Linked DNA regions of Mus musculus. The protein of the gene in region 4 interacts with the protein of the main gene of each other region in a biochemical or structural test. Links are inferred from orthologs where the notes say so. Each region holds a gene or a part of one and is shown on either strand. Other genes may lie near its edges.

Region 1 (3,558 bases), on a different chromosome or scaffold from region 4:
TTCCAGAAGAGATGATGTCCCTGAGTCAGTGTCCCCAAAACCTCTGTCTCATTCCGTCTCAGGAGTTGGCCTTGGCATTGTCCAGAGCGAGCAGAGCTCAGGTCTGGCACTTGTCTCCTAAGCTCTGCTCACTCTGAAGCTTTTTCACGAATACTGATTTCATGTACAACTCCAGAATTCAAAGGCTAGTCCCATGTTGGGTAGGGGTCTTGGACAGAAAGCTTAGATGTTCTTCCAGGGTCATCTGGGGCACTCGAAAGCCGAAGAACAGGTTTGGAGATGGAGGGTTCATGATTCAAGGGTCTACACAGCATGTCCAGGTGGAAGACTTGGGATACAAGCTCCAGGCACTGTCGGGGTGTTAACCAGGATTCCTTTTCCAGAGAAGGGAAGCCAAGGTGCCGTGAAGCTCCGAGCCAACCTCCTTTGGATACCCCCCAAACCACCCAGAGGTCGTCACAGAGCCGTCTCCTTTGGAACTCTGGCTCCTAGCTGCCTAGGAGGCTTGAAGCTGAGAACTTCCTTGTAAGTCACACCTGCGGGAAGCGAAGAGAAGCAAACGATAGAGTTAGACAGCTTTCAACTAAGGGGGGAAGCCAGCACCCCATGGGCCTTAAATCTAATCCTAAGTGGGCCAATCCACTTAAAAACACTGAAGACTGCTGTGAAGCTAGATTGCCCCAGGAAAACAAGGGATGAAAGTGTATGTTCAAAAGAAAAAAAGGGGGGGTTGTGTTCAAAAAATAATAATAATAAGAGAGAGAGGCTTGTATTAAAAAAAAAAGGAAGTGAGAAGAAAGTGTGTGAGCCTGCTCAAGGGCTCAGTTGTGTGCCTCCTGTGGTCTATGGTGAAAGCAAAAGCACCCAGCCACAGTGTGTAGATGGAGACCACAGAACGGATCTTGTGGCCCGTGGTTAGGGGAGTTATTTTGTTGAGCAGCAGAAGGATTTCATCACACAGAACCAAACTCATAAGCACACGACAACACAGAAGGGAAGAACACCTGCCAGGACTTTCAGGACATGAGTCAAGAACCTCTACCCATCCAGTCTTTCCCATACCAGGGTGCAAGAACAAGGGCCTGGGGTCTGAGGCAGACAAGACAAGGGATAGCATGTCGCAATGGACCTGTCCTCAAACCTCCTGGCTCCCCAGGTTGGACCTGTCAGTCTGGCAAGGACACGGGAGGCTAGTCCCAGCTCAGGGGACAGTAGGCAAACTGAGAGAGTTCTCTGAGGCCAGTTCTCAAAGAGAGAATTGGAGGTTTGGCACAGAGCTATGGAGGGATCTAGGGCTAGAGATGAGAGGGAAAAGCTGGGCCCTTTGGCCTGCATGGGAATAGACTGTCTTCCATGGGCAGTACATAAGATATAGTTATTTCAGGAGAGGTCTTTAAATGGAGTAAGGAGAGGTAAGGATACATTTTAAAGGTGTAAGAAGAAAGTCATAAGGACCGGCAGTGGTAGAGAGAGCTCCAGTGTGGTCTGGACATGAGGATGCTAGGCAATATAGAGGTTGGGGAGAGAACGGCCAGGGAGTTAGTAAGCCAAGGGCACAAAGCACACACACCTGCTCCACAGTTCTCAGCATCCATCACCTGCCAGCCCTTGTGGGTCGGAGCTCCTTCAAAAGACACTCTTTACCACTGCCTTCCCCCCTAGCCAGAAGTCAACCTGGTTGAGTTGCACTGCCCCACAATGCCCTTTGACCTCCCAAAGCTCTTATCTGACCTGCACCCCAGGGGCAGAGGCTCACTCACCCAGGGCACACAGGGTCCAAAGCCAGACATTGTATGGAACCCCCACACTCACGCTTCCATTCCTCAAGGGTGCGGTCTACATCATCAAAGGAGTCGTCATATTTCTGGGCCTTGGGTTCATCCTCAGTGTCCCGAAGGGACTCAAAGTATGGATGGGTTAACGCCTCAGCTGCTGTCACCCGCTGTTCCGCATCCAGCACCAGCATCCTTTCCAGGAGATTCACAGCTGTGGGAAGAGCAATTCAGGCCAAGCCACAGGAGGGGACATACTCACCCAGTACCCTGAGACCTTCACCCCATCCAGCGGTACCCTGAGGGCTTGCGTTGGTCAGGACAGAGGCAAAATCCTTCTTTTCTAACTCAGGGAGGCCTTCCATGTAGTTCTTGGCCTGTGAGGGAAAAAGGGTGATAGGCCAGCCCCCAAGCCCAAGTCCAGCCCACCACCCACTCCCACTGACCTCTGCACTCTGTAGCTTCTGAACAAACTCAGGAGGGGGCGTCCCTGTGATCTTCATGATCTCCTTCAGCTGGTCCAGGTCTGTACCAAGGTCAGGAATACAATGCAGGGACAGAGGGGGGCCCACCCAGCACCCACATCTTGGCCGAAGTCAACGGGTGCTCTACATAGAAGGATACGGTCATTGCCTTTGAACAGGATCTTCCCAGTAATCATCTCCGCCATGATGCAGCCAACGGACCAAATGTCCACTGAGAAGTCCCATCAGTGCCCCACATGCAAGGGTGGCATTCATATCCGTGAAGGCCAAGAAAAGGGGGATGCACAAAGAGACCACACGTGGGAGACAAGTATACATGAAGGGGAGACGTGCACATAGGCACAGAGCAGAGGCTGTCATTGAGAAGGGTGGCAGACCTCCCAGAGGTAGTGCCTATAAATGGCTCCCTATCCAGAGATGAAGGGAGCTAGAGGTGGCTAATCAGTTAACATCATGGGATGCTATTCCAGAAACCTTGGTTTGGTTTCCAGCATCTGCATGACAGCTCACAGCCATCTGTGACTCCACTCCTAGAGAATCCAATGCCGCCTTCTGGCCTCTGCAGGCACCGAGTACACAGGTGGTGTATGGATACATGTATCTGCATGTATAGATACATGCAGATACGTACTTATATATACATAAAATAAGTTCTTATAAAAATTAAGAGCCGGGCTGTGGTGGCGCACGCCTTTGATCCCAGCACTTGGGAGGCAGAGGCAGGCAGATTTCGGAGTTCGAGGCCAGCCTGGTCTACAGAGTGAGTTCCAGGACAGCCAGGGATACACAGAGAAACCCTGTCTCGGAAAAAAAAAAAATTAAGAAGGGGCCAGACATGGTAATACAGCCTTTAATTCCCAGCTCTTAACAGACAGAAGCAGGTAGATCTCTATGGATTCAAGGCCAGTCTGGTCTGCCCATTGAATTCCAGGCCAGTCAGGACTATAAAGGATCTATACAGGAAAAAAGAAAGAAAGGAAGGAAGGAAGGAAGGAAGGAAGGAAGGAAGGTAGGTAAAAAGAAAGAGAGGGGGGAAGGAAGGAAGGAAGGAAGGAAGGAAGGAAGGAAGGAAGGAAGGAAGGAGGCAGAGGCAAGTGGATCTCTGTGAGTTCGAGGCCAGCCTGGCCTACAGAGAGTTCCAGAAATAGCCAGAGCTATATAGTAAGACCCTGTCTTCAAAGCAACCAAACCATACCAAATATACATATACATACATACACATATATATTCTTTCTCAAAAAGAAGGAAGGAAGGAAGGAGAGAAAGAAAGAAAGAAAGAAAGAAAGAGAGAGAGAGAGAGA
Region 2 (4,271 bases), on a different chromosome or scaffold from region 4:
CCACATGTCACTTCACAGCTGCCTATAATTCTAGTTGCACGGAACCTGACAACTTCTTCTGGCTTTCACAGGCTCCTGCCCACATGTAGCACACATGCACGCACATGGGCATCTGTACATGCATGGTGCACATACGGACACACACAGGCATCTGCACACATAGACATAAATAAAAAAGGAAAGACAGATTAGTAAGATGAGAAGAAAACAGGGACTAGGGTTTGTTGACTTCCACTCCACTGGGTGGCCTTTTGCGAACTTTTGGACGTCTGTGGGTCCTCAGTTTCTCCTTTGTGAACTGAAGCCTTACTGATAGACTGTGCCACTATTAGGGTTCTTCCAAAAGAACGACCTCTGTCTCCTGAAGTGGGGGTGCTTAGGGCCCTTAGCTGCTAGAGCTTCGGGAGAGGATGCAGACCACCCAGGAGAGGGTCAGGGCCACCGGGACCCCCACAGGACTGGTTCCCACCTACCCTCCTCTGGGCTCGGAGAACCCTCCCCACCTGTCCCCAGGGGCCTCGCAAATCCGGGAGTGGATCCTCCTTGGAACGGATCCTCCAGTAGGAGTGCGGCGGGGCGAGGAGGAAAACCCGGGCAGGATCCGCGCGAGAACCGGACGGCGCAGCCTTCCCCCCCCCCCCCCCCCCGTCCCCGACCCCCGACTCCTGCTGGAGTCCTGGGTCCCGGGCGCTAGTGGCCTGCCCGCGTGGGTCAGACGCACCAGGAGGGCCGGGGTGGGGTCCGCCTGGGGCTGGCAGCCGGGGCGCGCTGCCTCCGCAGCGGGGCGCGGGTCACGTGTGAGGAGGGGCGAAAGTCTCCGAAGCGGGGCGCGTGCTGCGAGTTGGGAGTTCTCGGCGCGCCGCGGGCGGCGGGAGCTCAGGCTCCCGGGCGAGCCGGGGACGCGGCGGGGACCGGGTCCCAGACGGAGGGGGCGGCGGCGGGAGTGGGAGGGACGCAGACAGAGAAGGACACAGCCGGCCGAGGAGGCGGCGCGGGGCGAGGCTGAGCCCGGGCAGGGGCCGGAGCGCGGCGACCAGGTGCCACGGCCCCGCGGGAGGAGAGGCGGCACCGGGGCACAGCGGCGGGGACCTTGTGGCAGGCGCGAGGTGGCCACAGAGCCAGGAGACCCCAGAACTGAACAACGAGAGGGTCGTGGGGCTGTGGGTAACAGCGGGCAGTGGGGCGCCTTGGGCCCCTGGACCCCTCGACCCGAGCCCGGGCTCCACGATGCTGCCGCCCGGGCGGCGCCCAGCTCTTGACGCGGGGCAACGCTGAAAGTTACGCAGGGAGCGGCGCGGGACAGCGCGGAGACCCCGAGACCCACAGAGGCCGCCTGGGTCAGTGGCGACATCGCGGGCAGGCGGCGCCCGCGTCCCAAGCCCGGCGCCCCGGACTCCGCCCGCCGGACTGCGCCGGGGGATGTAGCGGACACTCGCCGCCCAGACCCTCCTCGGACCTTACGCCCCGGGGTAAGCTCGGGCTCGTCCATCGCGAGTACTCTTCGTCCGTCTGTCCGTCCCAATGTCTGTCTAGCTCAGAGAGTTGTTTGTCCTGCCGCTCTGGCCATACCCGTCCTGCACTTATCCATCAGACCCGATTCCTGAAGGGTCCCAGTGTGGACCTGTGACTTCCCCCAAGCTGGCGCGCTCCGTTTATTTGGCCATCAGAGCGTCTCCTGTGGGTTGTGGCTGGCAATAGAAGGGAGATGGATGACAGAGATTTGACCTCCTGCCCTGGCGACGGCCCTTCTCTGCCCCCGCCCACCTCCATGCCAGGAGCTGCGAGGCAGGTGACTTGCAGCAAGGTGGGAAGGGGGCGTCTCAGCTTCCCACCACCCACCTGCAGTCTCCGTGAATGGTTCGGAGTATGACAGAAATCTCCCTTCTGCTGTGTTAAGCACCTGCCTTGTGCCAGATAACCCCAGGGTAGGTGAGCCGGTAGTAGCTGAAGGAATGAGGTAACAGTAAATGGAGCATTTCGGGGATTAGAGTGGTGGAAACTAAGGCTGTAGAGAGAGGGGCAAAGATGCTTTTTCTTCTGCAAAGGGGAAACAGCAAAGAGTCATGCCGTGGGCTCTAAGCAAGGAGAACTTCACCACCACCTGCAGAATGCCCACTAACCAGGTCAGCCTACTACTGCCCCCCCCTCCCCCACAAACTATGCAAGGGGACTCAGACTTCAGGGCAGGGAGCTGTAGACCAGCTTGGCAGGCAGCAGTGCCCTCTAGGCACCACACAGGGTGGCTGGGCTGCCCTAACAGGGAGGGCCTCAAGAGGGGGAGAGCTCCAAGTAGTAGGCTGAAGGACCTAGGGACCAGACGAGGTGTCTAGCCCTGGACAGAGAAGGGCTGGATCCAGGGATCCAATATTCACTCCACCCCCACTCCCATCCATCCCTGCACCTTGCAGGACTGCTAGGAGTCCAGAGCCATGTGTAGCCTTGACTTGGCTTCTGAGGGGAGCAAGTGGAGAAACAGGACAGTTAGGGCAAGTGGAGCGGGAGGACTGAGCCTGGAACATTCTGCTCTGCCCTCCTATGGAAGAAGGGTCTCTTTCTGAAGTTTTCCATACTGGGCATCAAGGCTCGTATATCCCTTGGTCCAGGCTTCAGAAATGAGACCAGCTAGTTGAGACACTGGGCAAGTTATGCTCCTTGAGCCTCTGCCAGCACATCTGTGGAATGGGGACACCAGACCTGCCCCACTGACCTCCAATGCAGGGCCTTTGAGCTCTGTGAGCAGAAGACTCTTGGTAGGCTGAAGAGAGGGGTGGGCAGATGGGGGTGGGGGTAAGAACTCAGTTTACTTTGAGGGAAAATAAGTAGTTACCAGTGGCAAGAATATGGCTGGAAATGCAGACTGACAGTAATGGAGGTGTCTAGGCATAAGTGGGGGGACCTGGGACTTGGGCGCTGTACCTAATGTTACGCTTAAAGAAACATCTTCCTAGGGGAAAAAAAATAGAGGTGACTGGCCAGACAGAAATGTCCGCGGGCTCCCACTGGGGTGACCTTGGGCAGTTAGCTTGACTTCTCTGAGTCACAGTTTGTACCAGTGGAGAATGGGACTTCATGTCATTGTCACTGGCTTGCATACAGTGTCAGGGCCCTGGGAAAAGCTTGCAGAGCCAAACCATGCAGGTTCTAAAGAGACATTTGTGGATCGGAGGACAAAGTCACTCTAGGATGCTGTGGGAAGATTTTGGGGCTTAGGATGAGAGGGAGGGGGAGGAGGAACTGTGTGGGCTTACACAGGGCGGGCTGGTTCTTAATGTGGATCTGGGGGAGGCGGGGGCGAGTGCTGAGGGGGGTGTGAGGAGGAGGGGGCCCCCTCTGCGGGGACCACTGAGTCACGAGGACATGTAAGCGACATGACAACCAGCAACGTGGTAACCAGGAAACAAGCAATGGGAACGAAGCTGGAGCAGTGTGTCGTGGTGGGGGAGGGCAGACTGGCAGCACCCAGGCTTGGAGGGTCCGTGGTGGGTTAGGCTGGTCGGCCTGCAGGGGGTGCGGGCCAAATAGGCTGGGTAAGAACGGAAGTGTAAGAAGTGACAGGAAGCACCCAGGGGCTCAGCGGGGCAGGGGGCTTCTCTGGTCCCTCCCCGCTCTTCTTTTCCTCCACATCCCCACTCTTCATGCCTCTCCCCCTAGGATGCCAAATTTGGCTCACGCAATCTGTCGTCTCTCTTCTGAGATTGGCACGGGGATGGAAGCCGAGTGCATTACATCAGCGCCTGATCCCCCTGCACTGGGGGAGGGAGGGGAAGAACCGAAGACCGACCAGGCCAGGCTGGGATTGGAAGGGCAGCAGCCAGACTTCAACTTCCCTGCTTGTCTCCTGTTTGCTCTTCTTACCCTAATCTTAGATGTAGGGGGAGTTTGGGAAAGGCCATGACGAACTTAGAGGTGGGACCAGGACTCCAACTTTGGGGAGGTTCCATGACTTGGGCAGGAACCAGTCAAGCCCTGTTGCTGTCTCCCTGGCTAATTGGGACCAAAGAGTTCTCAGGACTTGGTGTGTCATTGCCTGGCCATGTGACCTTGGGCAGATTCCCCTTGCGTAGTAGAGTCTACATGTGTATAGTGAATGTTGGCCGCTTTGTAGTATTGGTGACTCCCCTGAGAGGAGCCACGTTGGCTCTCCAGGGCCCCGGGATGGATCCTGTGACCTTGAACAGCAACTTCTCTCCTTATGCCTCCATCTCCTCACCTGTGAAATGGGTATGTTCAAGGTCACTACCTGGACCCTGGACATGAGTTGTGCTACAGGA
Region 3 (4,284 bases), about 23 Mb from region 4:
TCATATGCCAGGCACCGTCCTGGGTGCTGTTCTGGGTTCAGTGACCATACAGTTGAAAGGAAAAGCTGGAAAGCCAGTGAAGGTGTGAAACACAAGCCAAAGGGGCATATAAGTAGAGACCCCCAGGTTTGGAATTAGGTAAGAGGTTTGGGGCCAGTCCAGACTGAAATAATCAAAGGGAAGAACAGAGGTTGGTGACAGGCTTGGCCTGGAACTAACCCACTGAGGGTCAGGGCAGGACAGAGAGAGGCAGCCCTTCCTGGAATAGCCCCTTTCAGATGGGGAGGACATCTGTTGGGGATTCCTTCAGTTCATGCCCATGGTCCTACTGTAAATACTAAATAGTGACCTATTTCGGTATGGACAATAATAACCTTGAAGGCTACCTTCTGTAGACTATGGAAGGCAGTTTTTGGATTTTGTTCCCAAGTAGTATGAGAACATTCAGGGACTTGTAGAAGGGTCACACAACCGAGTTACGATATACAAAAGTCACTGTGGCTGCTGCTGCTGCTCCTGCTGGTGTGTGTGTGTGTGTGTGTGTAGGTGAGAGACTTGCAGTGGATCAGGAGGCAGGTCATTGTTTCTTCCCCTGACTTTGTCTCACAGGTTCAAGCAGTCAGATGGGGGAAAGGGAGGAGAGGCCCTGGTTGCACCAGGAGAGGTTGCAGTCATAAGCCTGAGACAGGCTGCCCCTTTCTCCTCTCTGAGCTGGTTCTGGCCCTTGGGCCCTGCTCCAGGACCTTCAGAGAGGCTCAGGGGGTGCGAAGAATCCCTTGAGAGCAGTTGTACCTGCCCCAGGACTGCAGGGCCCTTGTAAGGGAACTAGTTCACTCTGTAAATGACTATAAACAATAGTAATTGTCCACCTGACAGACTTCCTATCCTGTCCTTCCCACCCCCACAAGTCCCCTCCTCTAACCTCTTCCAGAGAAGATTTCAGAAGGGAAAGCCCACAGGGTTCTCCCAGATACCAGTGGGGCCAACTGAAATGGATGTCTATGGAGAACACAGCACTTCTGGCATCTGCTGAGCTACAAGGTGGCTGGCTGGCTTGGGTCTGCTGCCAGTGAATGCATGTGGGCTCACCCACAATCTATTTCCAGAGATGGGTATCTATGGGGATCACACACACTGATCACATCATACAGATTGATGTTTGCTCAGATTTCCAAGGAACTAAAGCAAGACCGAGGTTTGTAACATCTACAAAGGGTAAGAAAGAGTGAGAAGCCTGTTTAAGGGAAAACACATTAGTATCAAGAACCCCTCGGGCGCGCTCTCTCTCTCTCTAGTAAGAGAACAGGAAGTTGATAAACTTCCACAGTTAGGTTGTGGGTCATCTAAGCTTTCCAGGTAAGGACCGCCCAGAGGGGAAGGGTCTAAAGTGAGGGAATCACTCACCCAGAGGCAGGACGAAGAAAAAGGGGAACCAGCACAGGACGAAGACACCCACGACGATGGCTAGGGTCTTGGCAGCCTTTTTCTCGCGGGAAAACTTGAGCAGCCTTACGGAGAGCGAGCTGCGCAAGGTGTGCCCCTTGCTACTCTGTGTCCCTGGATTTCCTTTGGCGCTAGTGGCTGCGCCGCGACAGTGGATCCTCAGAACCACCTCAGAGGCCTTGCCCGGCTCCCTCTTGATGCCCGCCTCGAGGCTGCGCGTGGTGCTGCGCGCGACCACATACACGCGGCAGTACATGACCACGATCACTGCCATGGGGAGGTAGAAGGAGCATACGGAAGAGAAGATCGCATAGCCCACCTCCTCGGTGATGCCGCAGAAACGCTCATCCGGGGGCACTGGTTCCTTCCAACCTAGTAGCGGTCCCACAGATACCACCAAGGCCACCGCCCAGAGCAGAGCCAGAATGGCAGCGGCCTTGCGTTCTGTCATAATGGCTGGATACTTGAGCGAGTGGCGCACACCCACGTACCGGTCCACAGAGATGGTGCAGAGGCTAAGGATGGAGGCAGTGCAGCATAGCACGTCCACCGCGGCCCATACGTCGCAGAAGGTCCGGCCGAAGGCCCAGAAGCCTAGAACCTCCATAGTGGCTGAGAAGGGCAACACAGCTGCACTCAGTAGCAGGTCAGCCACTGCTAGGTTCACGATGAAATAGTTGGTGACCGTCTGCAAGTGGCGGTTGCAGGCCACGGAGAGGATGACGAGAAGGTTGCCCGCCACAGCGGTGAGGATGAAGGCGGCTAGGAAGACACCCACTCCCACGCCCTGAGCACTCACCACTAGCCCCCCGACGGCCGCCGAGCCATTCACCTCGCCGCTTGCCGCGGCCCCCGCTTCTGCCGTGGAGCTCTGGTTGTCCTCGCCGCTGCCGGTTCCCACCACAGCGCTACCGCCTGTGGCACCCGGCACGCCGCCCACCGCCGGACCCTCGGGGCCAACCGTGCCAGCTCCGCCGCCCGCGCCGGAGCCCCCAGTGCTACTGCTCGCCCGGGGTCCTTCGAAAGTGACGCTCAGGATGTCGCGGAAAGTCATCTCACGGCGCAGCCGTCGGGGCCCGAGCCCAGGCACAGGGCGAGCAAGTGGCGGGGAGGGAGCCCGCGGGCATCGCCGCAGCGCCCGAGCCAGCCCCGCGCGCCGGTCCCGTCGGTCCTGCCCAAGTTCCCGCGGCAGAGGGGCCGCAGGGGAGCGGTGCTGCAGGGAGAGCGGGGCGGAGGTCACCAGGCCGTGAAGGTCCCAACGGGAACGGGCTCTGGCGGTGGCTGCAGAGTCACAAGAAAACAAGGGCCGGGGCCGGCTCCCTGCTCCCTGCTCCCCTCTCCAAGCGTGTCCTGGCGAGCGGTGGCTCCTCCGGGAGCGTCAGTGCAGGCGGCGGCCTCTGCAGCGCAGGGGACTCTGCGCGGGGGCGGGACGGAGGAGGGGCGGCGGGGAGGGAGGAGGGGGCGGCCGGCGCGAGCCAGCGAAGGGGCTCCGCGCGTCCAGCGGCTGCGGGGGTCCTCGCCGGTGCTCACGACCGTCCTCTGCCCTAGCTGTCCCCTTATCCTCCTTTCCTCAGCTCTCCTGCACCCCGGCTTTTGCCCCAGCGCTCCTCGCTGCCTCCCTTCCTCTCTCTGGACTTGCGGTCACTCTCTGCTTGCCCTTGCCCTAGCGGAGCATACAAGGTGCGATTCCCCGGGACTCCGGGCTCCCGGCTTCTGCCGCCAGAGAGCAGCAAGAGCCCAGGATCTGTGGGTTCAGGGCTGGATGATTTAAAAAAAACGCTGCCACTTGAGAACGTCTGGATGCGGTTTGATGCCCCTCCTCTTTTTTCTAGGGCAACTGGCCAGCCCAAGATCTCAAAACCCACTATGGTGCGATGGTGGCATTGAGACAGCCCTGAAGGGGTCAAGATGCTTGGGCGCGGGTTGAAGATGGGCGTGACTGGCGTGAGACCAGATGGTGTGGTCACAGCCCTAGGACTTTGCCCGTACTCTGAATAATACCAACTTTGGCCCTGCAACTCTACTCTGCATCAGAAGTCAGAATAAATCTTCCTGTTGCTACTCGAAGTACTCGGGACTCCCTCTGGGCAGAAAAGGTCACGTTCTGGAGGGTGGGAAAGGTTACTGCAGGGTGCTTAACAGGGAGGGAGCAGAGTAGCTTGCCTCCACCATTCAGGCTCCGGCGTCTTGTGCCTCGGTTCCCCACATGTGAAAACGAGAGTAAGATTCACTGTGTTAGCAGCGCCACCAAAGTAGTGCCCATACTTCTCAGAAGAGTGGAGAATAGTGGGGTAAAGCCTGAACACGAAGAACAGAGGGGAGAGGGGACGGGGCTGTGCTAGGAAGCAGGGACGCAAGGGAAAGAGAAGGGAGGGAGGAGGACCAATAGGGAGAGACACAATGCCACTGGACCACCCCAGGCAACTGTACTTACATGGTGCACATAAACTGGCCTCCTCAGGCAACTGTACTTACATGGTGCACATAAACTCATGTAGGCACACACATGATGTGCGCGAGCACACACACACACAAGTGCAGGCACAAATACATCTTCAAAACACTACCTTTCATTCTTCATCATTTCTTCCTTTCCTTGACTTGGCTTATGGAAGCGAGGCCATAGAGATGCGGGAGGATGCTCTGAAAATGTCATGTGCATGTCCTTGGTGCCTGGTTTATTCCTTGTTGCAGATGGTGGGATGGTAGAAGCAATGAAAGCCTCAGTTGTGTTGTGACATGAGCTTTCTTCTTCTCCCATCCTGCAGACCATTCACTGAACTCGATCCACAAGAGCTGAGCCCTTGGCAGGCAAAGTATGACTTATACACACACTGCCTT
Region 4 (4,063 bases):
GCAGCTGACTGGCCTCGAACTCACTATGTCCAACAGGCTAATTCTGAAACTCAGAGAGATCCACCTGCCTCTGCCTCTGCCTCTGGGGTGCTAAGACTAAAGACATTTGCCACCACACCCAGACCAAATGTCTCTTTAAAATAGTCAGCTGGGCTGGGCATAGTGGTACTTGCTTGTAATCTCAGCACGGGGGTGGCAAAAAAATAAAGGATTACTGCACATTCAAGACCAGCCCTTTACAGTACAGACTACACAGCAAGACACAGTCTCCAAAAGACTCAAGTCAAACCCTTGAATATCATATTCCTGGCCCATCCTCAAAGTACTGATTGGTGGCACAGAGCAAGAGGTCATTGTCTCAAGGTTATATAAGTCCGTGACATTTGAGCCTGAACACCTCTCCCAACCCCCACCCAGGCCTGACAGTTGTTCATGGCACTGCACAAGGCTTGAGGCCTAAGAGAAGAAGGTGTTTCTATTTATATCTAGCCTCCCCCACCTAAAAGTAGGGACTTCAGTTCCATTTGAAGCTATGACCGTTCCCAGCTGCCTCGCAGACTCAGCTGGACCCCAGAAAAGAAGTTACCATGGCAACAGGAGCCCAGTCTTCAATCCAGGAAGAATTGAATGAAACTGTTACTTTCCCTAAAGTCCCATAAAAATGTCCTTCCAACACCTGGAAGTACAGATTTGAGTCGTGTCTCTGTACCATGGCAAGACCCTGCTCCTCTGAGAGTCGGTTTGTCTGTCACAAAGCAGAACTTTCTAGAACTCTAGTTCCTTCCTGCTCTGACACACTAAGTGTATTTTAATTGGTCTGTTTCCTGGACCTATCATCGAGTTTGGGATGAAAGTTGGTGCCTGCTCTCTGTTTTTCCATTCCCCCTTTAGCTGACTAGGAACGGTATGATTCCCTGGACAGTCTTTAGGGCAATAGTAGCTCTATAATTAAGATTTAAACCCTGGTTCTGCCATTCACTGACTGAACCCCAGGGAAATTATTTTTCTCTTCTGAGTCTCAGTTCTCTTACCTGCAAAAATGGAGATTGAGCTCACCACTGATGATTAAACTCACCTTTCACCACTGATGGTCAAGATGGAATAGACCATGAGCTAAATGTAGTGGCCACAACACCTAACATTCGCCACCATGCTTATCCCCTAACCTGGGCCAAAGGATCTAAGCGAGCTATCACACAAGCACCTCCCAGGAGGCCTGGGAGTATATGAATACTTTCAATCTGACGGACAGAGGGACAGAAATGATGAGTCTAGCGCTGGCTATGAACATAGATTTTTTTTTCCATTTTTTATTAGGTATTTAGCTCATTTACATTTCCAATGCTATACCAAAAGTCCCCCATACCCACCCACCCCTGAACATAGATTTTTAAGCACCGCGTTTAGTTGCTTTGAGAGTCCCTCCTGGCCTCTTTTTCTCTCACACATGCCGGCAAGCCCTGCTCTCAGAAACATCCTCATTGTAAAGTTACCAAAACAGACTCAGAAATGGGAAGTGACTTGTGGAAGTTCACAGTTCTAGAACTCCAATGGCAGCCTAAATGAGTTAGGGAAGGAGTCAGTCGGTAAAGTGCTTGCTTGGCATCTATAAAGCTCTAGGCTTGATCCCCAGCACAACATAAACCTATTTTAGCAGCAGAGCCCAGTAATCCCAACACTCTGGAGGTGGAAATAGGAAGATTATATTCAGTGTTCTCCTCTGCTACATAGTGACCATGTGTCTAGCCTGGCATACATGAGATTGAGATCATGCCAAACACTTGTCAGTCTTGGAAACTAAGAATTCTCAGGAAGGAATGGCAACTCTGGGTTCACTCTCTCCATGTACCTGTTCATGTACAAATGGGCAGATGAGGAGACTCAACCCTAGCCATCAGGACTCCCAGCATAGGCAAACAGCCTCTGAAGCCCAAGATGTCTAGGTCCTTACTGGCCCCTTCTCTGCTAATGCCTGTGCCTCCTACCCATCTCTGGCACCCACATTGGGCTCCCAGACTCCAGGCCTTTACCAGTCTGCCTAGGTTGTGTCTCATGACTTCCACCTCCTTCTTGTTCTAGCAGTGTCCCAGGCCTCAAGTCCCTTTCCTTTCACCGCCGCCCCCGCCCCTGTCAGTCTTCCCGGGGACCCTCCTGCCCTTGGTACCCATAGCTACCATTTTGCTTCAAAACAGAACTAAGCACCAATGTCCTTGGTGCGCCCCCCCATCCTTCCACACTTGTGTCTTCTGAGTCACCTGAACTCCCCAAGCCCCTTCCGACCTTGGTGCTCTTCCCTCACTCTGTTCCTTCCTCCCCCGGAGACTCCTTTCCGCCCTAGACAGGTTTTCGTTTACCAGCCCCCATGACCCCTGAGCGCTCCGCAGCAGCACAGACAACACGACCCCGTGCCCTGGGTGCCCCACACCTACCCTTGATGCTGATGCCCAGCCCGCCGGCGTCGGCCTTGCGCACCGTCACGCGGCGCCGCTGGAGCAGCAGCGCTTCTGGCAGCTGTGGGGGCGCCGCGCCGGGCTCAGCGGCGCCGTTGAGCTGCGCGGGCTCCGGCTCCGGGCCGGGCTCGCCGTCGGCGGGACTCACGGTCAGCGCGTCCTCCGCCAGAGAGAGCAACACCCGCTGCCACCGCTCGCCACCCGCCCCGGAGCCCGCCCCGCAGCGCAGTTCCAGCAACCCGGTGCGCGGAGCGCGCCTGCCTGACGCCATCTTCGCCTCGAAGTCCCAGTACACTGCGCTCGCCCGGTCCCGCCGTACCCGGCCCGCTCCGACCCAGCGCCCAGGGCAGAGGGCGGCGGGGCAGCAGAGCCAGTCGCCACCCTACCCCGGCCTCGGGGGCGGAGCTTCGGAGGACAGGCTGTCGGGGGCGGGGCTAACGGGGGCGGGGCCCCGGGAGTGACTGAAGAGACGCTACCCGGTAAACTAAAGATGTGCAGCGGGATCACTTGGGAGTGGGTCAGAACCGCGTTCCCTCACGGCCACAGTTAGAGGAGGTTGAGGGTGGGGCGCTCTGCGGAACATAAAGGGGCCGGATTCTATGGATGGGGCAACACAAGGATCCAGTTCTGTGCGCCGTCGAGGATTGGACCGTAGCTCGTGGAAGCTGAAGGACAAGAAAAAGAATCAAGGATCCTGGGGTAGGGCTGCCTGTGTCAGGACCATAGGCTCCAGGGACTTTGCAGACAGAGTTAACTGGCAAACGAGCTAAGGAAGATGGTTTCTCACGTTTTGTGAGCCATGGGGAGAGGGTACCAGTAACAGTCTGTGGGCCTGACTCAGCTTAAGGGTGCAGCCTCTAAAGAGGTAAGCCTACCCACCCACCAGGAGGAGAAATGCCACTCCTTTGAGGGTTTGGTCCCATCACTTGAAGGTAGAGGCTGAAGGGTCTGCAAGTTTGAGTCCAGTCTAGGCTACATGAGACCCTGCCTTTAAAAAATAAAAATAAAAGTGAAAAGACATAAAGAGATAGAAGGCTCAGCGGTTAAGAGCATGGGCTGAAAAAAAAAAAAAAAAAAAAAAAAGCCGGGCGTGGTGGTACACGCCTTTAATCCCAGCACTTGGGAGGCAGAGGCAGGCGGATTTCTGAGTTTGAGGCCAGCCTGGTCTACAGAGTGAGTTTCGGGACAGCCAGGGCTACACAGAGAAACCCTGTCTCAAAAAACCAGAAGAGAGAGAGAGAAAGAGAGAGAGAGCATGGGCTGCTCTTACAGTGGAGCAGAGTAAAATTCACAGCATGCACATTGGGCAGCTCACAACCACTTGTAACTCCAGCTCCATGGAGATCTGACACCACTAGTTTCCTTGGGAACCTGTATTCACATTGCAAACAAGTACACCCATGCACACAAAAATAGTGAAAATAAATAAAATGACATATGATTTTATATATATATATATATATATATATATATATATATATATATGCAATACATGTATGTCACTTATTCTGTGTTTGCATGACACATGAGCTGGCTGATCTATGCTATCATTTGTGCCTTGGGTAAACCCTGCATAACTGAGACACATGAGTACTAAAAGCAGACCTCTCTTC
Region 5 (4,152 bases), on a different chromosome or scaffold from region 4:
TTCTACAACAAGTAGAAGATACCTGATCTCCACACATGTGCAGTGATGTGGGCAAATACACACACACACACACACACACACGTGAATAAATAAACTTAAAAAGACCAAAGTTTTTGGGCTTTACCAGCACTTCATCCAGGAGTTCGTAGACAAGCGCCACATTGCGTGAGATGGTTCCCTCATTGAGTGAGCCACAGTAGTCACCCAAGAGAGTGGCTAGCCTAAGGAAACACAGCAAATTATGTGTGAATAAACCTCACACGCCCTCCTTCTTAAGTGCCTGTCCCAACTCTACTCACCGGGAAAGCAGCTCCAGAAGGCTGAAAGGAGAGACGTTTTCTAAGGTTGTGGCCACCAAATAGAGCCCACTGTGTCTGATGTGAATAAAATGACGATCACCGTGATACTGAGGCAGAGTTGAGGACAGAGGCCATTAAGAAAAGACCAGAATTGTAGTAAGGAAACCTGCAAGATGGCACCCTGAGGTCTACTAGTGATGGGCGATGCCCCAGATCTAAGACCTGGCCGCCTAACGTGGAAAGGTAGTATCTACCTCTCAAAGTTGTTGATAGTCAAAAAATAGGGTGCATGGCTCTGTAACTGGCTTCTTGTTAGTACTCAAAACATTTATAAACAAATCCTCCCCACACACACACCCCCGCCCCCAAGCTTCCTACCAAGCTGCCCTTGACAGGGAGGAGGCACTCACCCACCTCCACAGTTCTAAGGCCCTGCACACCAACCACAGTAGTTACCATGACAACCGGGGACTCGCCTCCAGGCAGTCCCGTCAGCTTCCGGTAGAAGAGCTCTGCCACATCACGACCACCACTGTCCCCGCGGACTAGCCAGGTGGAAAGATAGTTAAGGAACAGGCGACACAGACTGATCTGGATTCGATTTCTACCCAGCTACCCTACCCCGTCTCCCGGGTCAAAGGATACAGTCTTTATAGATGAGCGGATCCCCCTTGGAAGACAGAATGAAGAACTGGGAAATCATGGCGGTTCTGGAGGATAGACGAGAACACGGTGAAAGTTGAACCCACCCCGCCTTGTGGACGCGGAACAAAAGGCCGCACGGAGGCTGGCGCTTTAAGAAACACTCCTCCCACACACACACTCGCGAGCATTAATTTCGAACCGCGGGAAACAGGGTGTCCAACCCGCCAGGATCTGGCAATCTTTCAACGGCCCGCCCTCAAGCCCCTTGTCATTCAATCTAGACTCGTCCATTGATTGGTTAAAGTTAGGGGCTGGCAGCAGTTGGGAACCCCCTATCTGATTGGCGGGTTCTCAGCCGCACGGGTCACATGGGTGACGACGTTTCGCGCCAATTTCGGTTGGCCGGCTACGTCCCGCCGCGCGTTCGTTTTCTGCTTCCCCAGAGAGAGATTTTTGAGCCCTTCAAGTCCTGCCACACCGTCCCCGGCAGCGATGGCGCTTAAGGACTACGCGATCGAAAAAGGTGAAGATCTATAGGGCTGGGGGCGGCGTCCTCGGAGGGAAACTTCTACCTGCACCTGTTGAGGGGTGCTGGAGTCTTGGGGTCGGGCGGGGGAGGGGGAGTGAGCCGGGATCTGTGACTCCGAGGACAGGCGAACTGCGCCTGCAATAAGCAGTGGGCGTCAAGGATGGAGGAAGCAATCCTCCTTGGAAAAGGTGATGTGTTTGTGTTATGGAGAGAACCCAGTGGAGTCCACAAAGGAGGGGCGCGCTCGGTAGAGACCGGGTGACTTGGTTCAATGCATTCAATACGTGACCCAAGGGACTAGGTTACTGGGCCAGCCTCTGCTGCTCGGGGCGCTAGCGAATTCCCGCGTCCACTGGAGACTGGCCGAAGTCCAGAGGCGGGGCTTGCCAGACCGCTACGCGCCGCGATTGGTTGTTTTCGGCCGCCCTCCAAGCGGAAGTAGAGGCGGGCGGAAGTGGCGCTACCCGATCTTGGGACTGTCGTGTGTAAACAGTGTCCTTCCGCGCGGTGGCCTCGGAGATAGCTGCAGTAGGTAGGGGCGTGCCTAGAATTGGGAGGCTAAGCGCCCGGTGGCGAAAGGTGGCAGTGTGGTGGACCCGAATGGCCCTTTGGCGTTCTGGCCAATCCCCGCTCGGCCACCCGTCTCGGGCGGAGGAATCCTGGGCTGTGAGGCGGCTGGAATCTGGGCCCATGTGCTTCTTTGTTTACTAAGAGCGGAAGCAGTGGCGGGAGCCGGGCATGAGTGCAGAGGAGGCCTAGTGGCGGACGTCCTGGCGGGAGCCTAAGAAAAAGAGTTGTACTGGTAGAGCGAGAGCCGAGGACCTTAAGTCGATTGGGAGCGAGCTGAGAGAATTGAAGAAACTGAGATTCCTAATTAAGACAGAGTGTGGAATTCTCTTGGGAAGGTTGGGTAAGACTCTTGTAGCTGCCCGAAGACCTATATTCTTCTCTGTGTAAAAACGGACTTGTGAAAAGGAACACTGCCTACTTTGGGGAGAACTTGGTCGATTTGTTTTCAATGTTCATTTAACTAACTAGTTCATAGGTTTCGTCTTAAGTGAAAGTGGGTTTCTTAGGTTTCTGTTAAGAGTTTGAAATAAAGAATCTAAAAGGAAAGTTGATTGTTTATTTTATTTATTTTTACATTATTTTGTTACATTATTGTGTGTGTGAGATCGCACGGGCATATCATAGTGCTGGACACCCGCAGGACTCTGTTCTCTTCCAACCTGTGGGTGGGCCCTAGGGATTGAACTCTAGTCCTTGGCAGCAGTGGTCTTTACACCTCACTGCAAAGACTTGGTTTTTATTTTATATTTGTAGAAAAAGTTAAGAAGTTCCTCCAAGAGTTTTATTACGAGAATGAGCTTGGAAAGAAGCAGTTCAAGTATGGGACCCAGTTGGTAAGTCTCAGGATTGGTTCTGGGGAGTGGCGTGGCGTGTTAAGAACTTGTATAAGGTTATCTCAAGTCTGGCTATCAGTGAATGACTTGATTCTGATTGTTTTTATACAAAGTTGGGTTTTTGTTTTGTTTTTAGCTTAAGGGTTTTCTTAGATGTTTTAGTCGTGTTTATTCCTATGTGTTTGTGCTCACAGGGGCATGCCATAGCATGTGTAGAGGTCAAAAGGACAATTTGTGGAAGTCTGTTCTCCCACCATGTGTGTTCTAGAGAGCAAATTCAGATCATCTGGCTAGATGGCTATGTCTAACCTGCTGAGCCACCTCATCCATTCCTAGCTCTTAGTTTTTAGGGGTAGTCTTTGTGTGGCTCAGACCACCATCAAGAACACGCTGTGTAGCTACATAGCTGAGGTTGGCTTTGAGCTCCTCACTCTGTTGCCTTCTGAATCCTAAGTGCTGGGATTATAGACATCTACCACCATGATGTACTGCATTCTGTTCTTTCCCCAGTGGTAGGATAGTGACTTTAGAAGAGCTTTTGTGGGTGAGGTGAACTTGACCCTAAAGTGTTAGCATCTCTTCTTTACCTCAGGTTCATCTGGCTCATCGGGAACAAGTGGCACTGTATGTGGACCTGGATGACATAGCTGAAGATGACCCTGAGTTGGTCGACTCAATTTGCGAGAATGCCAAGCGCTACTCAAGACTGTTTGGTGATGTTGTGCAAGAGCTTTTGCCTGAGTACAAGGAGAAGGAGGTAGGTGGCTGGTTTGTTTCTGAGCTCGTCTGCCTCGTGCCCTGTTTTCTTTCTCTGTCCTGCCTCTCGCCTTTTCTTTCTTTTAGGTGGTGAATAAGGATGTCTTAGATGTTTACATTGAACACCGGCTGATGATGGAGCAGCGAAGCAGAGACCCTGGGGCAGTCCGGAACCCCCAAAACCAGTATCCTTCTGAACTCATGCGAAGATTGTGAGTATCTCTGTGGGAAAGGGCGGGGACTTGCTCTCCGGGGACTTGCTGACAAATGTTTCTCTTTTAGTGAGTTGTATTTCCGAGGCCCAAGTAGCAGCAAGCCTCGAGTGATCCGGGAAGTACGAGCTGACTCTGTGGGGAAATTGTTAACTGTGCGTGGCATTGTCACTCGTGTGTCTGAAGTCAAGCCCAGGATGGTGGTGGCCACATACACTTGTGATCAGTGTGGGGCAGAGACCTACCAGCCAGTACGTATACAATTCTATGATGGTGATTTGATACCTCGGGTCGTTTTGACTGATAAT
Region 6 (4,189 bases), on a different chromosome or scaffold from region 4:
ATACAGTTACAGTACCATGATAAGAGTATAAAAAGTAACTTCCCAATAAACCATCAACTCAATAACATAATAGACAAGAGAAACTGAGTTTGAATTTTATTTTAGCTTTTTAAAGATCTGCCCACCTCCCCATCCCAGTAAAAATATTTAATTTTTTTTGTGCAAGTTAACAACTTCTATGAATTTTACAATGCCTAACACTGTGCAAAATGGCCTTCCAACCACTGCCTTTTTTTTTTTTTTTTGCCGTCTTTGTTTTTAGCCACATGTGCAATAATCTCAACTGTTTCCTTTTTGTTCTGTCCTATCTTTAGTTGACAGAGTCACATGTCACAGAGAGAGACTCAGCGCCTGGTCCTTCCAACTAGTATTGATACATAAATAAGCTGTTTAATATAAACAAGTCTTTCTATCTTGCTGTGCAATATGCACAGAGTGAGGTAGAGGACCCACAGCAGGACCACCGAGGCGCGCAGGGCACAAGGTTTGCCCTCTAGGAGAAAGCAAGGTGAACCGTGCTCCACACATAGTTTCTCGAAACCAGATTTGTCTGTTTCGCATCCTTCTTTTCCCTTTGCTTTAAGAACAGGAGACACCAGTACTCCGGAATTAGTATGCAATTTCTTTAGAAAGCAAAGGGAAACACTTCCTGGCTAATTATCACCGGCCCCGCCCCCACACCAAACCTGAGCTGAATACTTAGGTTCCTAGGTGTGGAACCGGAAAGCCAGGTGATAGACTCCATCCTGCCCCCTCCCCTCCCCGCCTAGTTTCCACTCGGGTCCTTGCAGAAAGTGTCAAAACCCACCTAGGGGCGGGGGGGGGGGGGAATGCCTGAAGGTGCATTAAACACACGAAAGGCCGAACCTCAGAGAGAAAGGAACTCAAGACAAGCCAGTAAGCCATACTAAGCCACACTCTCCCAACTCCTCCTAAACTTTCCTTTTTGCGCAAACGCTCGGTCCGGGGCTTTTCTGTACGTCTCGGATGATTCGATAGATCTGTGGGCTTTGCATTCACCTGCTTTCGGTCTTGAGTAAACAGAGATCTCCTCTCTCCCCTGGGGAGCGGCTCAGGGGCGCCCAGGCGGGCTCTCTTCCTCTAGGGATGCAGAGCCCGTGTCCAGCCCGGGACTATGGGGAGCGGCGTCCGTGCGCCCAGAGAGCCTGGCTCTCTACACCTTGGACTCCGAGGAGAAGCCCTGGCGCCCCGGCTCGTCCAGGCTCGAATCGCTGTCCACAGTGGTTGTCCCGCCGTTGCAGCCGGTCCAGGGCTCCAGCAGGCGCGCCGGTGGGGTGGTCCCGGCGTCGTCGTCGTCGTCGTCCGAGGGAGCTCCGGGGGACGGCGGCGGCCCAGCTCTCGCCAGGCAGCCGGAGGCGCGCGGCCGGTCCCCGTGGGCTGCGCGGCGTCTGCAGGCGGCCCGGCGCGCGCAGCAGAGCAGGCGCTGGAAAGCCTTGCGGAAGTCGGGGCTGCGGCAGTAGATGATGGGGTTGAAGGCCGAGTTGGCGTAGCCCAGCCAGTTGAAGAAGACGAAGAGGCGATCCGGCACCAGGTCGCGGTGGAAAGCCTTCACCACGTTGGCCAGGAAGAAGGGCAGCCAGCAGAGCGTGAACACACCCATGATGATGCCCAGTGTCTTGAGCGCCTTCTGCTCGCGCAGAGCCACGAGGCGCGACGGCCGCCGCTTGCTGGAGCGCCCGTTGGCCAGCGAGTCTGCGGGGCGCGGTGGCCCAGGTGACGGCGAGGGCTCAGGCGAGGGCGGCCGGGCTGGGCCGCCGAGGAAGCGGCGCTCGCAGCTGTCGATCTTCTTTACCTGTTTTTGGGCCTCGCGGAACACCCGCAGGTACACGAAGGCCATGATGCACAGGGGCACGTAGAAGGAGACGACGGACGAGGCGATGGCGTAGGCCCTGTTGGTGACGAAATCGCAGCACTTGGGGTCGTTGTAGCAGCGGCGCGCTTCGTCGCTCTCGGCCCGCCACCAGTGCATGAGGATGGGCAGGAAGGACACCAACGCCGAGATGGCCCACACTGTGCACACGAGGGCCCGCGCTCGCGCGCGCGTCAGCAAACTCTGGTAGCGAAAGGGCGACGTGATGGCGAGGTAGCGGTCCAGGGCGATGACACACAGGGTCTCAATGCTGGCCGTCACACACAGCACATCTACCGAAGTCCAGAGCTCGCAGAAGAAGGAGCCGTACTCCCAGCGGCCCCACACCACGATGGTGGCCCCGAAAGGCACCACCAGCAATCCCATGACCAGATCAGCGCTGGCCAGGGACATGATGAAGAGGTTGGTGAGCGTCTGCAGCCGCGGGGTCTTGGCGATGGCCACGATCACCAGCACGTTACCCACCACGATGAGCAGAACGATGAGCGCCAGCAGTAGGCCCATACCCGCGGTCCACTGCTGCGACAGCGGCGCTGAGCCCTCGCTGGCTGGAGGCAGCAGCGAGGCGGGAGGCGACGCGAGCACCAGCAGCCGCGCCGCGGTGGCCGCACCGTCGGGCAGCGGCGCGGCGGACGACAGGTTGCAGGGTTCGGAGGCGCCCAGGGCGAGCGCCCCCGCGCCCATGCCGAGCTGCGGAGGCCGGGGGCGGGGGGTGTGGCGGGGCTGGGCCGCGCCTGGGGAGCACCCCAGGAGCCGGGGCTGCGGGGCCCGCGCGGGGAGGTCGCGGCCAGGTCAGGGCAGCCGCGGCTCGGGGCCGGAGGCATGGACGCCGGGCGCCTTCTCCTCCGTAGCCGAGCGCTGTCTCCGCCGCCGCCGCCGCCGCTGCTGCTGGAGCCGCTGTCGCTGCTGGAAGAGCCGCCGGGACCTCAGCATGTTTCTGAGCGCGCGGGGCCGGCGGCTCCAACACCCAGCACCTCCCCCCCCCCCTTCGCTGCCACCCCCCCAGCCAGCCCCCGGGGCCGCGCGTCAGGCTCCCGCAGCCAATCGCCGCCAAGGCACGCCCCCGACAATGGTGCCCCCACCCCCAACACCCAGCACCCCCTCCTACCCGCGATTGAAAGGCTCCAAAGATTGCGGGCGGACTACGCAGCCAGCACCCACGGGCTGCAGCGAGCGCGCCCTTTCCTGCTCAGGCTTCTTCCAGAGTCTAGTCTGCGGCGCCCCCTGCGGCGCCCCGCCGCCTCCTGTGCCCCCCGCCAACCAGTAGTCTCCGTTAACCTTAGCACCCAGCTCTCCTTTTGCCGCTCCCGCAAGAGCGCCCTTATTTCCCTTCGGCACCCCGTAGTTCCCTCGCCTCTAGTGCCCGGTTCCTGGTAGCTATAAGAGAACCTTACAGGCGTCTCGGAGACGCAGGAGTGCCTTGGACAGCCTATCTGCTGGGATTGGAGGAATTTAGCTGTGAGACTGGGGTTCTGCCATCAGGCAGCCTGGCTCTTCCCTGATCGCGAGGGGACCTGGCCAGCATGACAGCTTGGGGGAATAGGAAGTGGGTGTTAGTGATTAGAGGAAACTTTGCAGCCAGGCGGGTTGCTGGAGCAGGGTACGCATCTGTCAGAAAGGCTCTCTGGGCGCTGTTCTCGCGCGGAGCTGTGCTCTCTCCTTCAAGTGCAGTAGATGGGGAAAGGAAGGGAAGGTTTGTGGATGTAACTGCCAACACCGAGGACCAGTCGGATACACACACAGGCCCCAGTCCCAGCTAAAGAAAAGGATGAAAGAGTTCTGAATATAAAGGAGAAGTTTAGGGCAACATTCAGTCCAGGGTAAATGACGTCGCCCCACCCCCACGCCCCTCGTGGAAAGAACACGGAGAATGACGCTTCAGACTTTTTGACTCCAGTACCAACACCTTAACATCCGCATCTGTGCTCCGTTACCCATGGGATTTTGCAATCTGAGCTGAGCCAACACAAGGTGCTATCCCTTTTGGGTTGACGTCATGAACTGGGATTTCAGATTTCTTGGGAGGGTGGCTAGATTCTCAAAACTGTGGGATTAGCTTTGGGAAGATGAGGGAAGAAAATATATACATACTCAAGGCGATTAAATCTGAAAGCATTTAAAGTCATACCACATTTCCTCGCTTCACATTGTCGAGAGAATCCGAAACTAGAGTCTTTGGCTTCATTCCTGATGCGAACAGAGGATGGGACCTCGGGCTGAGGTCCTCTGATCTACCCCTGGGAATGCCTCTACCTCAGGCCGTAAAAAGGAAATCTGTAATTAAGTTCTTGAGAAGCG
Region 7 (4,028 bases), on a different chromosome or scaffold from region 4:
AATAATAACAGCTCCTATCAATTATCCTCCTTTACCCTCAGTTTCACAGTGACAAGTACACTCCTCTGTTCTTGCCCACGAGTGTGGAATGTCATTGATCTCTTCTAGTTGAGGGATAAACATCTTGCTTTGCTATGCCATTTCTTGTCCAGCCCCAGGGATCGTCTCTCTTTTGTACTTCCCAGTGCCAGGATTAGAGATAGTTAACCTGGGTGCCTGAGGTCCAAACATGCTTGCCTTGTAAGCACTCTATTGCTGAGTTGTGTCCCAGTCTCCAAACCAAGTGTTTCATGATATGAGCTTACCTGAGCATAAACTATCACACAGCTTGCCAAGCAACATTTATTTAAAAAAAAAAAAAAACAAACAAAAAGAAAAGAAAAGAAAACCCTACCACTTGATGGCACCAGCAAATAAGGAACCCACTGGGGCTTCTCGATGCCTTCTGGCAGAGTCCTGTGCATTTTCCCAAGGGCCAGGGAGGGATGCTATTTTTTGAGGTGGTTTTGAAGTAGCTCTGTTCTCAGAGGCTCTTGTTGCCTGAGGCTGGGGCTGTGTTATCTGAGAAGTGTGGTCTGACAGACCTCACCACCCAGCCCGAGTTTAATGCAGAATTTCAAAGTTAAAAGTACTGCCAGTGGAAGAAGTGTTCTGGGAACTTCCAAGGCGGGTCTGTAAAAATATCAGTGGTCTCTCACGGAGGACTAAGCATAGGGTGTTTATTTTAAGACAGGCCTGGAGGTTTGGGGCTGATGGTGGGGGGTGGGGGTGGGGAGCAGGGGGAAGGAGTCCTGGAGAAGGGAAACTAGTCACTTCTCGTGGCAGATGTGTGTGGTGTGTGTGTGTGTGTGTGTGTGTGTGTGGTCCCCCACCAACTGATTTGTTTGCTCTGTGCAGACACTCTCCTGATGCCATATAATTACATATAATCATAATTCAGTTCTGACATGGTCCTCCTGGAGTTCGTGTACTCCAGCTTGAAGACTCATTCTGGACAACCCATAAGCCAGGGTCCCTCTTCAAGTTTGTTAGTGTGATTAGAAGACTTACAGATACGTTAACTTACATGTACCTATTGATTGTAAGGCTAAACCTCAGAGCAGCCAATGGGGATGCTCAAGTGAGGAATGTGGGCAGGGACAGAAGCTTTTAGAATCTCTGTGTCTTTTACCCAGCATTCCAAGCTGCATTCCTTTAGATTGTCACACACATGCACCTGGTTACATCCCTGGCAAAGGCAGGTAAGCTCTACCTCCCTCTATGAAACTCCCTATCTTCTAATGCAGCTCCTCTGGCAACTAGCCTCCCTCCTTAAGGGCTTTCCACACACTCCTCAGGAACACAGACTTAAGTGAGGCGGAGGAGGGCCTTGAAAGTTATCAAACAGTGTCTCTTTCCACCCGTCAGGATGGCTGTTACATACACACACACACACACACACACACACACACACACACACACACTCACACACTCACACACTCACACACACACTCACACACACACACACTCACACACACACACACACTCACACACACACACACACTCACACACACACACGATGTCTGTTACACAAACACACACTCACACATATACACACACACTCATACACATACACACATACATACACACATACTCACACATACATACATACATACATACACACACTCAGGCACACATAAATACACACATACACACTCAGGCATACACATAAACACATGCACACAAACGCATGCACACACACAGACACACACATAAATACATACACACACACTATATATATATATATATATATATATATATATATGCATGTGTGTGTGTGTATGCAAGTATTGGTGAGGACATAAGACATCCAGATTTTGTGAGTGGAACAAAATGGGGAAAGCTACTGGAGGCCTATAGGGAGGAGGCTCCAGGTAGGGACCTCCCTCCCCAAAACCTCTATATAAGTAGTTTAGATAATTATTGCTCACCATTACAGACAGAGCTAGAGAAGTTACCAACAGCTGAGGTGGCTCTCTCCTTTGGTCACTTTTTCTGTGTCTGGAGTGGCAGGAGGGGGAAGGGCGTTCCCCACTGAGTCTCTTCTTGACCCTCTACCCACATGCTAGCCATGGGCTTCTGACCTTGGCACAGCTGTCCAGGCAGTCTTCATTTTGCTCAAGTACTCTGTTCATAAGGAGCAGGGACACAGAAAACATCTTTAGCACGGGGGTGTCAATGGCAAGACGGAGGCCAGTGCACCATGCAGGGGACCAGGGGTGGCAGGGCCGCTGACTCACTCTGCTTCACGGAGGCAGCAGCCACGTCTTGGTGGAGCTAAATCTGCCGCACGCTTTTAGCTCATGCAGTTGTTGGCAACCTAACTCAACAGCCTGGGTTATTTTTTGCCTCCTGGAGATTGGTGAGCCAGCTAACGTTCCTTTAATAAGTGCTCCTTCTACAGAAGTTGGTGGCCATTTGAGTTGCCTGCGGATCCCTCGGCACTTGTAAAGTTCAGGACCAAAAATACATGCAGAGTGCCTTCTGGGTTTCTTTTGGTGATGTCTAGCAGGTATTGATTCCATAGGCTCTGGAAAATCATGAGGGAAGAGAGAGATTTCTGGGCTTGATCAGCAAACATGTCTCCTCTAATTCTATAATGCAGAGCTCTGAGAAAAGATGGCAGCCTAACTATCATGAGCTTGTTGCTCTGACAAAAGCATCTTGCAAGAGAAGTGGTTTATCTTGGCTTATAGTTTGGGGATACAGTGTATCATGGTGGGACAGGACTGTGAGGAGGCCGGACATGAAGCACTGGCTGCCAGGAAGCAAAGAAAGATGAACCCTGGGGGCTCAGCTCTCATTTCTGTTTCGATGTAGCCCAGGATCCCAGCATATGGGATAGGACTACCTACATTTAGACTGGGTATTCCCACCTCAAGTAACCTAATCTACAAAAGTCCCAGCATGCTCAGAGGCCTTGTCTCTTTACTGACTCTATGTCCATGAAATCGACAATATTAACCGTGGCAGCAATCAATGAAATATTCTCAAACAGCTAAGAGAGAATTCTTGTTTCCAGCATGAAGATACATCTGAGGTGATATACATAATGTGTTAAAGTGTCACTATACTCTACATGTGTATGATTGTTTGTATATACTTGGTCCAGAGTAGGTGTGTCACTGTGGGTGTAGACCTCATCCTAGCTGCTTGGAAACCAGTCTTCTAGCAGCCTTCAGATGAAGATGTAGAACTCTCAGCTCCTCCTGCCCCATGCCTACTTGGATGCTGCCATGTTCCCACCTTGATGATAATGGACTGAACCTCTGAACCTGTAAGCCAGCTCCAATTAAATGTTGTCCTTATGAGAGCTGCCTTGGTCATGGTGTCTGTTCACAGCAGTAAAACCCTAAGACAGAAGTTGGTATCAGGAGTGCATTCTGTTATATGTCACCTAAAAGTAAAGATACTTTATAAAATATATCCTCCAACAATTCAGGATCTATTCCCAGAAGAATGAATCGACAGAAAGTGATTTTTTTTCCCACGCAAGATTGAAAAGGGGAGAGATTTAGACACATGTTATAACATAGATGGAACTAGAAGACACCATGGTAAGTGGAAAAAGCCAGTCTCAAAAGGAAAAGCATTGTCTATAAGATATCATGACAGAATAAACAATGGAAAGGAGGGGATTATCCACTTGGGCCTGGTGCCAGGGTTTCAGTCAGCCTATAGTCTTTTGCTATGTTGCTTTGGGGCCACGATAAGGCAGAACAGATGTCTGCTTTGTGATAGACAAGGAGCAGGGAGAGAAGGCTGAAGAGGAAAGGGCAGGAGGAGGGATCCAGCGCCAGTACCCTACCTCCTTCAACCAAGCCAACCTTCTAATGCTTCCATCCCTTTCCAATAATGCCCTCAAATGCGACCCCATCAATGGATTAATCTTTTCAAGAAATCAGAAGCTGCAGGATCCCAAAACTGGCAACCAAGCCCTGGTACCTGAGCCTGGGTGGGAGAGCGTACTTCCATATCATGTCTCCTTT

The links.
Region 1: of the proteins of Snta1 (region 4) and Mapk12, one has a biochemical effect on the other in vitro, tested with the Homo sapiens proteins (2 studies listed by BioGRID and IntAct, with this or other methods). The link is inferred for Mus musculus from reciprocal best matches to the Homo sapiens genes SNTA1 and MAPK12.
Region 2: the proteins of Snta1 (region 4) and Kcnj4 interact in a test that uses a peptide from one of them, tested with the Homo sapiens proteins (2 studies listed by BioGRID and IntAct). The link is inferred for Mus musculus from reciprocal best matches to the Homo sapiens genes SNTA1 and KCNJ4.
Region 3: the proteins of Snta1 (region 4) and Adra1d interact in a test that uses a peptide from one of them, tested with the Homo sapiens proteins (2 studies listed by BioGRID and IntAct). The link is inferred for Mus musculus from reciprocal best matches to the Homo sapiens genes SNTA1 and ADRA1D.
Region 5: the proteins of Snta1 (region 4) and Mcm7 interact in a test that uses a peptide from one of them, tested with the Homo sapiens proteins (2 studies listed by BioGRID and IntAct). The link is inferred for Mus musculus from reciprocal best matches to the Homo sapiens genes SNTA1 and MCM7.
Region 6: the proteins of Snta1 (region 4) and Adrb1 interact in a test that uses a peptide from one of them, tested with the Homo sapiens proteins (2 studies listed by BioGRID and IntAct). The link is inferred for Mus musculus from reciprocal best matches to the Homo sapiens genes SNTA1 and ADRB1.
Region 7: the proteins of Snta1 (region 4) and Mas1 interact in a test that uses a peptide from one of them, tested with the Homo sapiens proteins (2 studies listed by BioGRID and IntAct). The link is inferred for Mus musculus from reciprocal best matches to the Homo sapiens genes SNTA1 and MAS1.

Annotation. Positions count from the first base shown.
Region 1 is NC_000081.6:89,130,683-89,134,240, forward strand, and holds part of Mapk12 (mitogen-activated protein kinase 12), read right to left. Parts: intron 2,469-3,558; coding exon 2,397-2,468; exon of another isoform or gene 2,299-2,396; coding exon 2,219-2,298; coding exon of another isoform or gene 2,150-2,218; coding exon 2,071-2,149; exon of another isoform or gene 1,987-2,070; coding exon 1,813-1,986; exon of another isoform or gene 537-1,812; coding exon 457-536; 3' UTR 1-456. UniProt on the Homo sapiens protein: Serine/threonine kinase which acts as an essential component of the MAP kinase signal transduction pathway.
Region 2 is NC_000081.6:79,502,394-79,506,664, reverse strand, and holds the start of Kcnj4 (inward rectifier potassium channel 4), read left to right. Parts: upstream 1-1,423; 5' UTR 1,424-1,469; intron 1,470-2,725; exon of another isoform or gene 2,726-2,750; intron 2,751-4,271. UniProt on the Homo sapiens protein: Inward rectifier potassium channels are characterized by a greater tendency to allow potassium to flow into the cell rather than out of it.
Region 3 is NC_000068.7:131,559,672-131,563,955, forward strand, and holds the start of Adra1d (alpha-1D adrenergic receptor), read right to left. Parts: upstream 2,827-4,284; 5' UTR 2,498-2,826; coding exon 1,405-2,497; intron 1-1,404. UniProt on the Homo sapiens protein: This alpha-adrenergic receptor mediates its effect through the influx of extracellular calcium.
Region 4 is NC_000068.7:154,405,251-154,409,313, forward strand, and holds the start of Snta1 (alpha-1-syntrophin), read right to left. Parts: upstream 2,835-4,063; 5' UTR 2,722-2,834; coding exon 2,430-2,721; intron 1-2,429. UniProt on the Homo sapiens protein: Adapter protein that binds to and probably organizes the subcellular localization of a variety of membrane proteins. May link various receptors to the actin cytoskeleton and the extracellular matrix via the dystrophin glycoprotein complex.
Region 5 is NC_000071.6:138,169,041-138,173,192, reverse strand, and holds the start of Mcm7 (DNA replication licensing factor MCM7), read left to right. Parts: upstream 1-1,309; 5' UTR 1,310-1,436; coding exon 1,437-1,467; intron 1,468-1,926; exon of another isoform or gene 1,927-2,383; intron 2,384-2,796; coding exon 2,797-2,876; intron 2,877-3,468; coding exon 3,469-3,633; intron 3,634-3,719; coding exon 3,720-3,844; intron 3,845-3,914; coding exon 3,915-4,095; intron 4,096-4,152. Other genes in the region: Ap4m1 (AP-4 complex subunit mu-1), read right to left, coding at 125-221, 300-406, 714-844, 945-1,002. UniProt on the Homo sapiens protein: Acts as a component of the MCM2-7 complex (MCM complex) which is the replicative helicase essential for 'once per cell cycle' DNA replication initiation and elongation in eukaryotic cells.
Region 6 is NC_000085.6:56,720,758-56,724,946, reverse strand, and holds the start of Adrb1 (beta-1 adrenergic receptor), read right to left. Parts: upstream 2,831-4,189; 5' UTR 2,576-2,830; coding exon 1,175-2,575; 3' UTR 1-1,174. UniProt on the Homo sapiens protein: Beta-adrenergic receptors mediate the catecholamine-induced activation of adenylate cyclase through the action of G proteins. This receptor binds epinephrine and norepinephrine with approximately equal affinity.
Region 7 is NC_000083.6:12,865,312-12,869,339, reverse strand, and holds the start of Mas1 (proto-oncogene Mas), read left to right. Parts: upstream 1-1,196; 5' UTR 1,197-1,241; intron 1,242-3,481; 5' UTR 3,482-3,596; intron 3,597-4,028. UniProt on the Homo sapiens protein: Receptor for angiotensin 1-7. Acts specifically as a functional antagonist of AGTR1 (angiotensin-2 type 1 receptor), although it up-regulates AGTR1 receptor levels.